2 linked regions of the Macaca mulatta genome follow. The protein of the gene in region 2 interacts with the protein of the main gene of each other region in a pairwise test. Links are inferred from orthologs where the notes say so. Each region holds a gene or a part of one and is shown on either strand. Other genes may lie near its edges. The genes, in order: HNRNPM and HNRNPF.

Region 1 (7,661 bases), on a different chromosome or scaffold from region 2:
TCCTGAGCTCAAGCAATCTTCTTACCCCGACCTCCCAAAGTGTTGGGATTATAGGCGTCAGCCAGCACACCCAGACTAATCTGCTCTGAGTAACATTTTACCAAGCCAGATGTATGAAACTTTTTTTAAAAATTAAAATTCCAGCTGGCCGCGGTGGTTCACGCCTGTAATCCCAACACTTTGGGAGGCCAAGGCGGGCGGATCACGAGGTCAGGAGATCGAGACCATCCTGGCTAACACAGTGAAACCCCGTCTCTACTAAAAATACAAAACATTAGCCGGGCGTGGTGGCGGGGGCCTGTAGTCCCAGCTACTCGGGAGGCTGAAGCAGGAGTATGGCGTGAACCCAGGAGGCAGAGCTTGCATTGAGCCGAGATAATGCCACTGCACTCCAGCCTGGAAGACAAGAGTGAGACTCCGTCTCAAAGAAAAAAAAACAAACAACAACAAAAAAAATAAATAAAATAAATAAATAAATAAAATCCCAAGCACACACAAGTTACAGGCAAGCTTGAATGTACGCTGGAAACAGAGACCTTTGTTGCTTTATTACTAACTAATGGTGACGACTTTCCTACATCCTTTTACTAGCTTCTAGAACAAGGCACCCATGAAGAGGGCAACACACATCATGCCCCACTGCTCCCTGTGCACTGGAAGGGCCTGATCACCGGGGACAGCCGCCTTTCAAGCCTGACAGTGATGTCTGTCCTTGTACCATTTTCACATTCTCTGTTATGACAGACCCGCAAAGGAAGGTTTATACCCAAATTCCTAATGACTTCCCATTCCAAGAAAGTTTCTGTGTAAAAAAGCAGCAGCTTTCCTGTGGTGAAGGGGAAGGTCAAAGAGTCACCAACACATAGAGGATTTCAAAAAGGAAGATTTCCAATTTATCATGCACACTCTGTAGCCCTGCTGGTGCCGTGGGCTAAGTGCTGTGCTGGAGGCACTTCTAGAAGGCAGGATTCCCACGTGATGAAGTGCCAGGCTCTGGAGCCAGACAGCCTGGGTTCACATGCAGGCACCACCGTTTACCAGTCACGTGACTTAGGCATGTCACTCTCTGTGCCTCAGTTTTGGATGAAACGGGGATACCAGTATGTACGTATCATGTGGTTCTCACAAGGAATAAATGCAATACTACATTGTTATTATATTATCATTATATTTCTGTCAAAAAGTTGGGGGTGGGGGCCGAGCATGGTGGCTCACGCCTGTAATCCCACCACTTTGGGAGGCTGAGGTGGGCGGATCACCTGAAGTCAGGAGTTCGAGGCCAGCCTGGCCAACATGGTGAAACTCCGTTTCTACTAAACATATAAAAATTAGCCAGGCGTGGTGGCGTACACCTGTAACCCCAGCTACTCAGGAGGCTGGGGCAGGAGAATCACTTGAACCTGGGAGGTGGAGCTTGCAGTGTAAGCCAAGATCGCACCATTGCACTCTAGTCTGGGCAAAAGAGTGAGACCCTGTCTCATTAAAAATAAAAGAAAAAAAAAAGAAAAGAAAAGTTGGTGAAGGATTTGAATTACACTAAACCAGAATTTGCATAATGCAAATACTAAATTAAAAGAGCCTGTAGACAAGGCTCTTTTTTTATTAACACCTCTATGGACAACTTGCAGCTGGGACAGATGACCAAGAACTACCCCTTCCAGCGCTCCTAGAGACAGACAAACTTGATCACAAACTTTAAAGAATCCCTCATACTCAAGAGACCATAACCACAAACATGTACATGCTTTTTAACACTGTACTCGAATATTACTGCAGAGCTTGGGAACACAGGACAGCTCAAAGACTAGCGACCAAGTGAAGTAAGTCGACTATTATGTCTAGTTCTTGAAATATTTAAGGCAATTCAAAAGACATTTGATTCGGCTGAAAAGCAGAAGTGAGAAATCACTTATTCAGTGGGTCTGTAGCCTAAGGTCACCTGAGAGGCAACAGCCGACAAAGGGTGGGTGAAAGCAGGAAGAAAACACGATGCTTACCATTTATCCTGCCCATGTTCATCCCAGATCCAAATCGACCCATGTTTTCCATACCACCACCAAAGGGCCCCTCCATTCCTGCAAGAGATGTTCACATTTCAGCATCACCCAACAAGACTGCTTAGACTGAGCAGGGAAAGAAAAATTCTATCACGTTTCAACTGGGGTATCTTCTGCCAAGAACTTATCTATCAAGTTTAAGGGCTTCTGAAAAACAAAAAAATGCTAGCACCCTTGTTTAAAAATCACCACCTTCAAAAAGCTGCTCTGATCCAACCCCCTCAATGAACAGACAAGCAAAAAGAGGCACAGAGATGGAGTGGTCTGCCCAAGGTCACAGAGCTAGTTAGTGAGACAGCCAGAACCAAAAGCCAAGACACCCGCTGGAAGGATGGACAGGCAGGAGGAAGTCATTTCTAGACTCAAACTGAAACCAAAGAGAATTTCATGCAGGGTTTAAACAAGAAAGAAAAGAGGAAAGAGAGAAAACCATGCCTAAAAGTGATTATGCTTGTACTTCATTTTAAATTTCTTACCTCCCATCTTATTTATTCCAAATCCTATGCCTTCCATTCCCATTCCTTAAAAAGAAAAAGTCAATGCAAACTAAAATTATGTCAAAGCAGTAAATAACATTTGAACTTAAAAAGCATAATTCCAAACCAGCAAAAGAACTCAAAAGAAAATCCCTGATGACAAGTATATTTTATATATTTTAATTAGCAAGAAAAAAAGCCCCTACCATTTCAACTGTCAAGTATCATATAGCTGGGCCGGGCGCAGTGGCTCAAGCCTATAATCCCAGCACTTTGGGAGGCCAAGATGGGCGGATCACGAGGTCAGGAGATCGAGACCATCCTGGCTAACACGGTGAACCCCGTCTCTACTAAAAAAAAAAAAATACAAAAAACTAGCCGGGCGAGGTGGCAGGCACCTGTAGTCCCAGCTACTCGGGAGGCTGAGGCAGGAGAATGGCGTAAACCCGGGAGGCGGAGCTTGCAGTGAGCTGAGATCCAGCCACTGCACTCCAGCCTGGGCGACAGAGCGAGACTCCCACTCAAAAAAATATATATATAGCTAAAAAAAAAAAATTTTTTTTTTTTTAGACACAGTATTGCCACCCAGGCTGGAATGCAATGGCACAATCTTGGCTCACTGCAACCTCCACCTCCCAGGTTCAAGCAATTCTTCTGCCTCACCCTCCCGACTAGCTGAGATTACAGGCGCCTGCCACCACGCCTAGCTAATTTTTTTCTATGGGATCTACACAGTTTAATGACCCAGTCGGGCAGGGTTTTTTTTTTTTTTTTTTTTGAGACAGGGTCTCCTGTCACTGAGGCTGGAATGTAGTGGCATGGTCATAGCTCCCTGCAGCCTCATGTGATCCTCTTGCCTAAGCCTCCCAAGTAGCTGGAACTACAGGTGTACGCCACCACATCTGGCTATTTTTTTTTTTTTTTTTTTTGAGACGGAGTCTCGCTCTGTCGCCCAGGCTGGAGTGCTGTGGCTGGATCTCAGCTCACTGCAAGCTCCGCCTCCCGGGTTCACGCCATTCTCCTGCCTCAGCCTCCCGTGTAGCTGGGACTACAAGCGCCCGCCACCTCGCCCGGCTAGTTTTTTGTATTTTTTAGTAGAGACGGGGTTTCACCGGGTTAGCCAGGATGGTCTCGATCTCCTGACCTTGTGATCCGCCCGTCTCGGCCTCCCAAAGTGCTGGAATTACAGGCTTGAGCCACCGCGCCCGGCCGCTAATTTTTTTTATATTTTGTAGAGGTTGAGTCTCACTATGTTGCCTAGACTAGTCTCAAACTCTTGGCCTCCAAATTGCTGGGATTACAGGCGTGAGCCACCACACCACACCACACACACACACAGGCCTCAAGCTAGGCAGTATTAAACATGAAATGGAAACAATTGTAAGACACATTCTACGGAACATAAACTTTTTAGAAAATTTTAGGGAACAGAAATAGATTTTTAAAAAGTCCCTGTTAAAGGTAAAATCTTCAAAATAAAAACCAGTTCCTAAAAACACCAAGACTTCCTCCCCAACCCCCAGTCTTTCTGTTTAGATGTCAGACGTGGGGTGTGTGTGTTTTGGGTCAGGGGGAAACGTTAGAGCCATTTGAAGTCGTGGCCCAGAACTTAAGTCAGCCCCAGGGTGACCCTGGAAGAATCTAGCGATATGCAACACTGACAATGGTGGGATAGAGGGGCTTCCAAATTCCAATTTCAAAGGATTCTAACAAAGACCAAAGTCTGAAGTCATTAAAATGAAATACTCCTTAATAGAATCAAAATACATCATTATACAGAAATGAAAATGCTAAACAGCAAAGCCTGAGTTTATTCTACACATTGAAGCTTTCATGCAGTTGCTTTTTTTTTTCTGAGACAGAGTCTCGCTCTGTTGCCAGGCTGAATTGCAGTCATGTCATCTCAGCTCACTGCAATCTCCACCTCCCGGGTTCAAGTGATTCTCCTGCCTCAGCCTCCCGAGTAGCTGGGATTACAGGTGCAAGCCACCACGCCCGGCTAATTTTTGTATTTTTAGTAGAGATGGAGTTTTGCCATGTGGGCCAAGCTGGTCTCAAATTCCTGACCTCGGGTGCTGGGATCCCTGTCTTCTTTTTTTTTTTTTTTGAGACGGAGTCTCGCTCTGTCACCCAGGCTGCAGTGCAGTGGCCGGATCTCAGCTCACTGCAAGCTCCGCCTCCCGGGTTCACGCCATTCTCCTGCCTCAGCCTCCCGAGTAGCTGGGACTACAGGCGCCCGCCACCTCGCCCGGCTAGTTTTTTGTATTTTTTAATAGAGACGGGGTTTCACCGTGTTAGCCAGGATGGTCTCCATCTCCTGACGTCGTGATCCACCCGTCTCGGCCTCCCAAAGTGCTGGGATTACAGGCTTGAGCCACCGCGCCCGGCGGATCCCTGTCTTCTTAAAGACAACACTGTCCACCATGTTTCCTGTGACGGCCACATTGTCACAGAGTGAGGCCCTCTCCACCGTTTTTCTTTGAGACGGAGTCTCGCTCTGTCACCCAGGCTGGAGTGCAGTGGCGCGATTTTGGCTCACTGCAGCCTCCGCCTCCTGGGTTCAAGCAATTCTCCTGCCTCAGCCTCTCAAGTAGCTGGGACTACAGGCGTATGCCATCACACCCAGCTAATTTTTGTATTTGTAGTAGATGGGGTTTCACCATGTTGGCCAGGATGGTCTCAAATCCTGACCTTGTGATCTGCCTACCTCGGCCTCCCAAAGTGCTGGGATTACAGGCATGAGCCAGCGCGCCTGGCCTCTCCACCTTTTTTGCATCTATCAATGCCCCTAGCTCTCTAGCAGCAGCTGTGCAAACACCAGGAGGGCCCACGGGGTCTTGGTAAGACACTTTTCAGGGTACTGCAGCAGTGCTATGGTCTTGTGGTCAGGAGACCTGCAGCCTGTCACTAACTGACAGTGTGACCTTGAGCAAGAGCAACTCTCTGGCTTGCCTCCTCTTATCAAATGGCACAACTATTTCAGCTTAGAAGGTTGTCGTGAGGTTACAATGAAAAAGTATAATGACTTTAAACAAGGATTCAACTTGATAAAAATACAAAATACTGCCTTTATTAAAAATGAGGCAGAGATGAATAGGAGGGAATTTTGTCCCAGTTAACTATTTATTCCATTTAAACTACTCAAAGTCCAGTTGCCCCAATAATTAATAATTTTCACTTCCCCAAAACCCCAAGCAAGGTGCACTATCATTCTCACCTGCGGGACCTATGTTTCCCATTCCGATGCCTTTATTCAGGTGATTGGCATCAATGGGTTGCCCTCCTGGTCCTAACCCCATGCCAATACCACCAAGGCCATCTGGAAGGAAAAGAGAAAGAAGTTTAGTTTTCCCCTATTTAGCAAACCTTGACCCTCAAAGGAAAAGAGTCTTTGTTTAGTGAGTTGCAGCTATCCACTCCAGCCTACCCACCCCCACCCACCAGTGACCCCAGGGCCCAATGCAAAATTCAACATCAGCACATTTGGAAACAGAACCTTGTTCTGGCGTTTGGGATATGTGTGTATACAACAAAGGCGGCTGAAAACCAACACAGGGGAAAGTTAACAACCCCCACACTAAGATTCTTGAGAGCCTATTTGTTTCACTAACCCATGGACTGAGAACTGATCAAAAAAGGTGACTCAAGACATCAGGTGGCAAGCAGCACAAATGTGCCCAATCCCTAGTAGCCCAAAGGACGTTTCTCATGAAAAAACACGTTACAAACCAGCCAATCAACATCCTGGATGTACGCTACTCTCTGAATCTGGGTGGTTTTAGTAACAATGAACCTAATGTATGTATTCAAAGAACCTATCTTCCTTCCCCCAAAGCTTCCTAACCCACAACTGGATACCCAGCCCACACTCAACTCCATGCTCTACCAACACAAACAGGGACACAGAAATACAGGCTGGTCTCTGGAAACAGCCAAAAGAGCTGACACTTGCAATATTTGGGGTAACCACCATCTGAGGCTTAAACTACAACCAGGTAAGGTTTCAAAAATTATAACAAGGCCAGGCGCGATGGCTCACGAGGCCTGAAATCCCAGCACCTTGGGAGGCCAAGGCAGGTGGATCACCTGAGGTCAGGAGTTCGAGACCATCCTGGCCAACATGGCGAAACCCCATCTCTACTAAAAATACAAAAATTAGCCTGGCATGGTGGCGCACACCCATAATCGCAGCTACTCGGGAGGCTGACAGGAGAATCACTAGAACCCAGGAAATGGAGGTTGCAGCGAGCCAAGACCACGCCACTGCACTCCAGCCTGGGTGACAGAGTGAAACTCCATCAAAAAGAAAGAAAGAAAAAGAAAAAGGAAGGAAGGAAGGAAAGAAAGGAAAGAAAGAAAACAAAATTCATTTAAAAAGTAAATAAAACCTGCCACTACTTCCCAGGCGTTTAACCTGATTAACATTCCATCTTTAACTGCACAGCAACAGCAGCAAGAGATCACCAAGGTTACTTACTCCTCAAAACACTGAAGGCTTTGAAGTCAAGCCTCTGAAATGGCTGGGAGACCAAGAGCCATGGCTCCCTGGAGCAGTGTGCTCCACCTCCTGATCCAAAACAAGAGTCAACAACAGCCACTACCACGGTCCAGGGTGACCGCTGCTCAGATGAGCACACAGACAATTTATTTGGGAAATGAGTATGTTATGTCCAGGAAATGTAATCCTTCTCTAACTAATGTTGACTTTCAACAAACGAGCCTTCTCATGAAGCCACAGATTTCCCTTCAAGATACATCTGTCATGCTGCCTTAATGCTACGCTGCAAAGGTGCTCTGGCCTGGGCTCCCATCCAACTCAGTAAGTGAGTAGGGCCCTCAGCTTGAGCTGCTGCTCCAGACCAGGCCCCCTCAACCCACCTGGTGGAGGTCCCCGCAGCACAGCACACACAGGCCTCTCACCCTCACCCATCTTCCTTCTCCAGGAGGGCTTTACCTGTGCCAGTGACTCCCTGAAATGTCCCACTGCTGTCTGCACTCAGGTTCTGGCTTCCCGTCTCCGGCTTACGTAGGACTCTGCACTAATATTTGCCACTTCTACCTACGTGGTGGCCCATCAACTAGCCTTCCCTGTCACAAGACAGATTTTTCACCTGGGTGTCACAAATAG
Region 2 (8,405 bases):
CACCATGTTACCAAACCAGACAAAAACACCACAAGAAAACTAACTTCTGAATTCTATGTACTTCTAACACCAACTTAAATTAGAAAAGATAGGTATTTGTCATAAACGTCATAATTCTATTAGATGGCCCTATTCTAATCAAATAACTTATGATGGGTTTATCAGGATGTAACATAGTAAGTAGGAGTATCTGTATTTATATTAGGTGAAGAGTTGTCTAACAGGAGGCATACTGTTAGGATAAATCTAATAGGAGTCTTAATCTGTCATGCCTTTCCTTAATTATGATGGCTTTTTGTGTGTGTGTGTTTTTTAAACGGTCTTGCTTTCTTGCTCAGGCTGGTATGCAGTAGAGCGATCACAACTCACTGCATCCTCTATCTACTGGGCTCGAGGGATCCTCCCCACTTAGCCTGCCAAGTAGCTGGTATTACAAGTGTTCGCTATCACATCTGGCTAATTAAAAATTCTTTTTTGAAAAGATAGGGTCTTGCCATCTTGCCCAGGCTGGTCTTGATCTCCTGAGCTCAAATCCATTCTTCCACCTTGACCTCCCAAGTGTTAGGATTACAGGTGTGAGCCTACATTGCCTGCTCTGTGTCACTTTTTCTCTTCTGAGTCGGACTCTGGCTCTGTCACCCAGGCTAGTGTGCAGGCGCACGATCTCAGTTCAGTGAAACCTCCGCCTCCTGAGGTCAAGCAATTCTCCTGCCTCAGCCTGGGATTACAGATGCACACCACCACCCCCAGCAAATTTTTGTATTTTTAGTAGAGATGGGGTTTCACCACATTGGCCAGGCTGGTTTTGGACTCTTGGCCTCAAGCAATCTGCCTGCCCCAGCCTCCCAAAGTGCTGGGATTAAAGGTGTGAGCCACCCCGTCCAGTCTGTGTCATTTTCAAGAGATCTTTTTCCTAGCCCAAGCCCATATGGTTATCTGAACTTACAAAGCGCTGATGTTTTTACCTAAATTTTTACACTTAGATCTACAATGAACTTGAAATTGATTTTTTCATTTCCAAAAGAGTTTACAATTAGTTCATCAAGTATCACAGGCTAATTTTACTCAAGAACTCAGATGTGAAAGTCCAAACCAAGTATCAGTCAACCAAATCCAGCAATATGTAAAGCAATATTATGACCAAGTTGGGTTTATTTCAGGAATGCAAGTGTAGTTGATCATTTCAAACTCAATCACTGCAATTTATCATACTGATGTATCAATGGAGACAAAGTACAGAGGTAATTTTTTAATGTTTTATGAGAAATGCTAAACTGAATTTATGTCAAGGAAGAAACGAGGCCATGTACTGTGGCTCACACCTGTAATCTCAGCACTTTGGGAGGCCGAGGTGGGCAGATCACTTGAGCTCAGGAGACCACCCTGGGCAACATGGCAAAACCCCTTCTCTACAAAAAAATACAAAAAAATATTAGCTGGGCATGTGGCACACACCTGTAATCCCAGCTACTTGGGGGGCTGAGGTAGGAGGATTGCCCGAGCCCAGGAGGTCAAGGCTGCAGTGAGCTCTGTTTGCACCATGGCACTCCAGTGTGCGCATCAAAATGAAATTGTTTCTTGAAAAAAAAAAAAAAAAAAACAAAATGTAGGGGGCTGGGTGTGGTGGGTGGCTCATGCCTGTAATCCCAGCACTTTGGGAGGCCAAAGCAGGCAGATCACTTGAGGTCAGCAGTTTGAGACCACCCTGGCCAATATGGTGAAACCATCTCTACTATTAGACGGGCGTGGTGGTGCTGCACGCCTGTAATCCCAGCTGCTCATGAGCCTGAGAATTGCTTGAACCCAGGAGGCTCAGGCTGCACTGAGCCCGGATCCTGCCACTGCACTCCAGCCTGGGTGACAGAGTGAGACTCTTAAAAAAAAAGAGTCTTAAAAAAAAAAAAAAAAAAAAAGGAAAACAAAAGTACATCTTAGAGCGATCAAATGATCATTGAAGGAGTTATCATCTTATAAAAGTATTCCTGCTAATAAGTGAGAAGGAATCGATTATTAAAATATCACTAATTTGGAAACCATTTAAGAAAATAATAGATCTAGGTAATGATCATTAATAGCTGCTGTAACATGACAAAAGGGAAAATACCAACCAATATGTGCCTCCAGTAGGGGCACAGCACCTCAACTAAGTATTCTTTCCAAAAACTCCCATCTGAATCAAAACTACCTCCAGGCTGGGTGTAGTGGCTCACACCTGTAATCCCAGCACTTTGGGGGGCTGAAGCGGGTGGATCACCTGAGGTCAGGAGGTCGAGACCAGCCTGACCAACAAGGTGATTCCCTGTCTCTACTAAAAATACGCCTGTAATCCCAGCTACTCAGGAGGCTGAGGCAAGAGAACTGCTTGAACCCAGGAGGCGGAGGTTGCAGTGAGTCAAGATCACTGCCATTGCACTCCAGCCTGGGCAACAAAACCAAAACTCTGTTTTAAAAACAAAAATAAAACCAAAACCAACACCACTTCTAGAGGTAACTATCACTTTACAGCAAATATAAAGAACAGAGACTCAAAGGCCACCAGGGAAAAACAATCAGAAAAATGCGAAGTGTGGGGAAGGAATGCTGCAAGACAACCCGACAAATATAACCGGGAATGGGGCCTTTAAGAAAGGGGAACTTCTAGATGATCACTGATACAGCATCCATTCACCACACCTGAAATGTGTATGTGTAAAACTCACTGGATTTTGACAGGTTCACAGGATTGTTTTTAATTATTTTAGTCAAGATCATGGAGAAACGAAAGTGTTTTAATAGTGGATATATGTTAGGTTAAATTATTAATACAATGAATCACGTTTCCTTTTACCACTAGAGAATATAAGATTGGCCGGGCGCGGTGGCTCAAGCCTGTAATCCCAGCACTTTGGGAGGCCGAGACGGGCGGATCACGAGGTCAGGAGATCGAGACCATTCTGGCTAACACAGTGAAACCCTGTCTCTACCAAAAAACACAAAATACTAGCCCGGCAAAGTGGCGGGTGCCTGTAGTCCCAGCTACTCGGGAGGCTGAGGCAGGAGAATGGCGTAAACCCGCACGGCACTCCAGCCCGGGCGACAGAGTGAGACTCCGTCTCAAAAAAAAAAAAAAAGAATATAAGATTACATTTATAGCATACATTATACTTCTATTGGCCAGTGCTGCTCTGAATTTAAAAAGTTATCTACAAAATATAAGGTGTGACTTTGGATCCTGACTCAAACCAACCAGTTGTTTAAAATATTTAATACGGAAACATTTAAACCCTGGAAACTTGGTATTTTGGAATGTATTTTTAGGTATGATAGCAGTATTATGGTTAGATTTTAAAAGTCCTTAGAAATACTGCGGATTTATTTATTAATAAACACCTTATTGGTCTGGGATTTGCTGTAAAATAACCCAGGGTGGTCTTGGCTGACTGTTCTCCCTCTGCCCACCCTGTTGCCCTCCAAAGAACCGTAGCTCAGGGGAACTAAGACAGGGCAAGGGCCCCGGCAGGGGAGGGGTGTCCCGGTCCAACTTGGGACCCAGTCCCAATTGTGTCCCTGGGCACGTGACTTCTCCCAACCTCCATTTTCTCATCTGGGGCTAATAGCAACCCCTTTTACAGTAGTCCTGAGAATGTAATTAGAAAATGGAATAAAACTTCTAGGACCTAGTAAGAATCAACTAATGTGGTTCTCTCGAAGAGCAGAGAACCAGAGCTCAGTGGAGGAGGGGAATTAGAGAAGTCACCTCCACGGAAAGGGCCTGTCACATTTCTGCAGCCCCTGCAGGCATCTACCCGCACTAGGCTCTCATTTGCCTCCAGACTTTCCAAGGTTCTGGCCACGTGGGAGAAGTAACTTTATTTACTCACTATTTTCCCTTAAATAAATTGCAATTTTTACCTGAATAAAGCTTTGTAACGCTACCCTTAACAGAAAACTTCACAGTTTACAAAAAAGTGGCCAGGCATGATGGCTCACGCCTGTAATCCCAGCACTTTGGGAGGCAGAGGCGTGAGAATCGCTTGAACACAAAAGTTTGAAAATCAATCTGGGCAACACAAGGAGACCCCATCTCTACAAAAAATACAAAAATTTGCCAGGCGTGCTGGAGAATGCCCGTGGTCCCAGATACTCGGCGGCTGAGGTGGGAGGACCCCTTGAGCACAGGAGGATCTCGGCAGCCAGCCGAGATCACACAGCCTGGGCAACAAAGTGAGACCCTGTCTCAAAAAATAATATATATAATATATATATCATTTTATAGAGACGGGGTCGGTCTCTGACGCCCAAGCGATTCTCCCACACCTCGGCCTCCCTAAATGCTGGGATTACAGGCGTGAGCCACCTCGCCCGGCCGGCAGTGACTCTAATCTACAGAATGCACACCGGAATGTAATACCTACAAGGCAAAAGATCTTTTTGCTTAGGAATAAAGCAATCTCTCTCTTTACATTCATTAAAGTAGTAATGTCTTATTTTATAAATTCTGTAAAAGCAACGAGTCACTTTTCAGGGATAGCACTTAAGATATCTTTCACCTACCTAGAGAACCCAATGAATTTTTATCTTACTAGGAATTCAGAGACAACCACGTATCTAACTTTTAAAAATATAAGTAGAAAGAATTATATGTGTATATTTTTGGAAGAATTAAGATGACTTTTTGAAAGGAACGACTGAAGACAACACTTTCAGAACTCCCTGCCGCCTGAGGCTGTGGCCCTGACCCCGGCGCAGCGCCCGCCCCGCGCGGTTCCGGGAAGCCGCCGTCGCCGCCCGTTGCCCTTCGCGCGCAGCCGCCAGCGCGCGCCTCCTGTCCCGCCACGCAGATGGCCGGCCCGAGCCCCCAGCGCCCGCAAGCAGTTTCGAAAACTAAAGAGGCGCGTTAGCTCGTCCCCGGGCCGCTCGGAGACCGAAAAGCCGCAGCGAAGGGCGCCCCGCGGGCAATGGCCGAGCTCGGCTCTCCTTCCACCCTCCAGCCGGGACACACGCGGAGCCGAGCGGGGATCCCAGGCACCTAGCGGGAGGGGTCCCCGCGACCTGGGCGGTCTGGCGGGGAGGGCGAGTCGGGTGCCCTGCTCCTCAAAACCCTGGTCCACGACTCTGCGGTTGGGGGAGCGGGGCAGCCGGCGCAGCAGGAGCCGGGCCCCGTCCTCAAGTTTCCTAGGAGCAGGGCGGAATCGACGAAAATGCTTCATACACACAAGCAGAAGGGAAAAAAAAAAAGACGACTAAGCCGAAGAGCGCGCACGAGTCAGATTTTCACCCCAGATACAAACACGGTACCTCTAGGAGCAGGAGACCAACACAGAGACCGCGCTACGAGGACACGCGGCGCCGCCGAGGAAGAAAATGGGCCCAGGGCAGAGAGCTAAGGCTCCGGGAACCGGGCGTGGGAGGAGGGCGGAGCCAACTCCCCACAAGGAAGTCTTGTGCAACTCTCAGGCGCCTACAGCCACGTGAGCGCGCGGCTTTCATTTTATTCAGGTATTATTACTACTGTTATTACTTCTGAGACAAGGTCTCACTCCCATCGGCCAGGCTGGAATGCAGTGGCACAGTCACTGTCACTGCAGCCTTGACCTCCTCAGAGCAAGCAACTCTCCCGCCTCAGCCTCTCGAGTAGCTGGGACAACAGGCGCGCGCCACCACACGTGGCTTTCTATTTTTTTTTTTTTAACTTTTTAGCAAAGACAGTTTCACTATGTTGCCCAGGCTTGTCGGGAACTCTTGGGCTCAAGAGATCCTCCCGGCTGGGCCTCCCACTGAGCCAGGCCTGTTCTCACTTTCAGAGCCCTCCGGTGGTCGCCAGCGCCCGACCAGGAGGCTGAACTAACGCACCGGCCGGCCGTGTCTTCCCGGCAGCCCCTGACTCCAAAATCTCAGCCCGCGGTGCTCACCGCGTGGGACCACTATCTGGGCGTGCGGCTCTCGACCTCCGACACTGCGTCTCCCGATCCCAGGGGGTCCAGTTCTCGTCGGTCCCACGTACCGGCCCCTCGACCTCGAATCCGTCCCCCAAATCTCAGCGCCGCGGCCCCTCATTATGTGCAGTCCTCGATCGGTCCCAGATGCGTGGCGCTTAAACTCAGATCTCTCCTCCCTGATCCCAAATCCCAGCCCCAGCCCCACCCACCCCAATAGGCCCAAACCCCAGGTAGTCCGGGTACGGGGCCCTGGACTTCGGAAGGTCTCCCCAATCTCAAATCCCAGGCCCACTGTCCACACCCCCAGGGGGACCCGGTCCCCGCTCGGTCACGGGTGTGCGGCCTTCGACGTCGGAGACTTCGGCCACCCCTCACCTCGGCCTCCGAGTCTCTACGCTCCCGCTCTCACATCAGGCACCCCGGTGGTCCCTCGGAGCACCTAGAGGAGGGTGGGACGCGGGGAACTTGGCAGTTGTAGCAGAGGCAGTTGAGGCTTGTTGACCATCACCATGGAAACCCCCGGCTGCGAGCACGGGGCGGGGCCTACGAGGGGCGGGGTCAGGCGCGCTGCCGGCCCCAGTCCTTAGCGCCTGCCCGACGAGAGCACGCGGCTTTGCCGGAAGCCCTCCTGCTCCCGGCGTGCCAGGCCCCGACTCGGCCCTACTCCCCGGCTCGGCCCTTTGCCCTGAGCACCCGGAAACAGAAGCCCAAGGAGCCCGCGTCCCCACCCCGCTGCTACCTGCCGGCGTGACAGCGATTCAGTGCCACCCCGAACCCCACCTTAAGGAAGACGCGGCGCAGTCCTGCTTCCACGACGGAGCCGGAAGGACGCAAGGACCGCGGTAGGGCGGAGCTTCTGCGTCTTGCACCCGGGGGCGGGGCCGCGACGGCGCTACTGTGACGCGCCCAGAGCGGAGCTACCGGTTGGCCGGCCGGGCGCGGAGCTGAGCCGACACTGGGGGCGGGGGTGTGGGGGAGGCGGCGGAGGCAGACTAGCGAGGACGTTTCTGGAGAGGAGAAGGGAGGGGTGGGGAGGGGATGGGGGGGAGGAGAAGGGAGGGGTGGGGAGGGGATGGGGGGGAGGAGAAGGGAGGGGTGGGGAGGGGATGGGGGAGGAGGAGGAGGAGGAGGAAGTGGAGCGGCGGGAAAGATCCCTCTGACTGCCCCTGAGGCCCTGGAGGAAGGCCACTGGTAAGCCCCGCAGGACACTGAAATGTGCGCTCAAAGGACTCCTGATTTGAAGACTAGGATGGGAAAAGGAAATGAGAACCATGGCAGGCCGTGGTGGCGCAAGCCTGTGGTCCCAGTAATTTGGGAGGCTAAGGCGGGAGAATCGCTTGAGCCCGGGAGGTCGAGGCTGCAGTGATCCGTGACTGCTCCACTGCGTCCAGCCTGGGCGACAGAGCGAGAGGCTGTCTCAAAAAATAAAATAAGGAAAGAAGTACACTGAGGGCCGGGCGCAATGGCTCACGCCTGTAATCCCACCACTTTGGGAGGCCGAGGCGGACGTATCACGCGGTGAGGAGAGTGAGACCATCCTGGCCAACATGGTGAAACCCCGTTTCTACTAAAAGACAAAAAATTAGCCGGGCGTGGTGGCGCGCGCCTGTAGTCCCAGCTACTCGGGTGGCTGAGGCAGGGGAATCGCTTGAACCCGGGAGGCGGAGGTTGCGTGAGCCGTGATGGCACCACTGCACTCCAGCCTGGCGACAGAGCGAGACTGCGTCTCAAAAAAAAAAAAAAAAAAAAAAAAAAAAAGTACGCTGAGTACTCCAGAGATCGCTTAAAGGCGTCTCAGAGCGGGGCAAGCGTTAGGAGGGATTTGTCAGGTCGAAGTTGCTCACGTGGTAATTCCGTGGTGTGAGAAGCCCCCAAACCTCAGAATGTAACTCAGACCCAGGTCGAGGGCAAGGTTTTCAGTCACAGAGCACCTGAACACAGAGATTTGGTGGCTAATGGCTAAGCCAGGGACAGATTTTTTTTTTTTTTCTCACGCTTTGTAAGGCTAATAATTATAATCATTTCATTTTGGTGGACCTTCCTTCATGAAGAGATGATGTCAAGGCACTCATCACAGGTTAAGCTGAACATTATTACTATTACTATTTCCAGACTGGGTCTCTCTCTGTCAGTCAGGCTGGAGTGCAGTGGGTACAATCACGGCTCACTGCAGCCTCGACCTCCTGGGCTCAAGCAATCCTCCTGCCTCAACCTCCTGAGTAGCACCACCACTATTGGCTCAATTTTGTATTTTTTTTTTTTTGAGACCGAGTGTTGCTCTGTCGCCCAGGCTGGAGTGCTGTGGCGCAATCTCGGCTCACTGCAAGCTCTGGTTCCCGGGTTCACACCATTCTCCTGCCTCAGCCTCCCAAGAAGCTAGGACTACAGCAGCCCGCCACCACGCCCGGCTAATTTTTTGTATTTTTTAGTAGAGACGGGGTTTTACCATGTTAGCCAGGATGGTCTCGATCTCCTGAACTCGTGATC

Evidence for each region.
Region 1: the proteins of HNRNPF (region 2) and HNRNPM interact in binary tests that used the Homo sapiens proteins (3 or more experiments, as listed by UniProt). The two-hybrid records come from large-scale screens. The link is inferred for Macaca mulatta from reciprocal best matches to the Homo sapiens genes HNRNPF and HNRNPM.

What each region holds. Positions count from the first base shown.
Region 1 is NC_133424.1:9,322,157-9,329,817, reverse strand, and holds part of HNRNPM (heterogeneous nuclear ribonucleoprotein M), read right to left. Parts: intron 5,853-7,661; coding exon 5,751-5,852; coding exon of another isoform or gene 5,712-5,750; intron 2,579-5,711; coding exon 2,534-2,578; intron 2,076-2,533; coding exon 1,998-2,075; intron 1-1,997. UniProt on the Homo sapiens protein: Pre-mRNA binding protein in vivo, binds avidly to poly(G) and poly(U) RNA homopolymers in vitro. Involved in splicing.
Region 2 is NC_133414.1:55,880,061-55,888,465, forward strand, and holds the start of HNRNPF (heterogeneous nuclear ribonucleoprotein F), read right to left. Parts: upstream 5,355-8,405; 5' UTR 5,278-5,354; intron 1-5,277.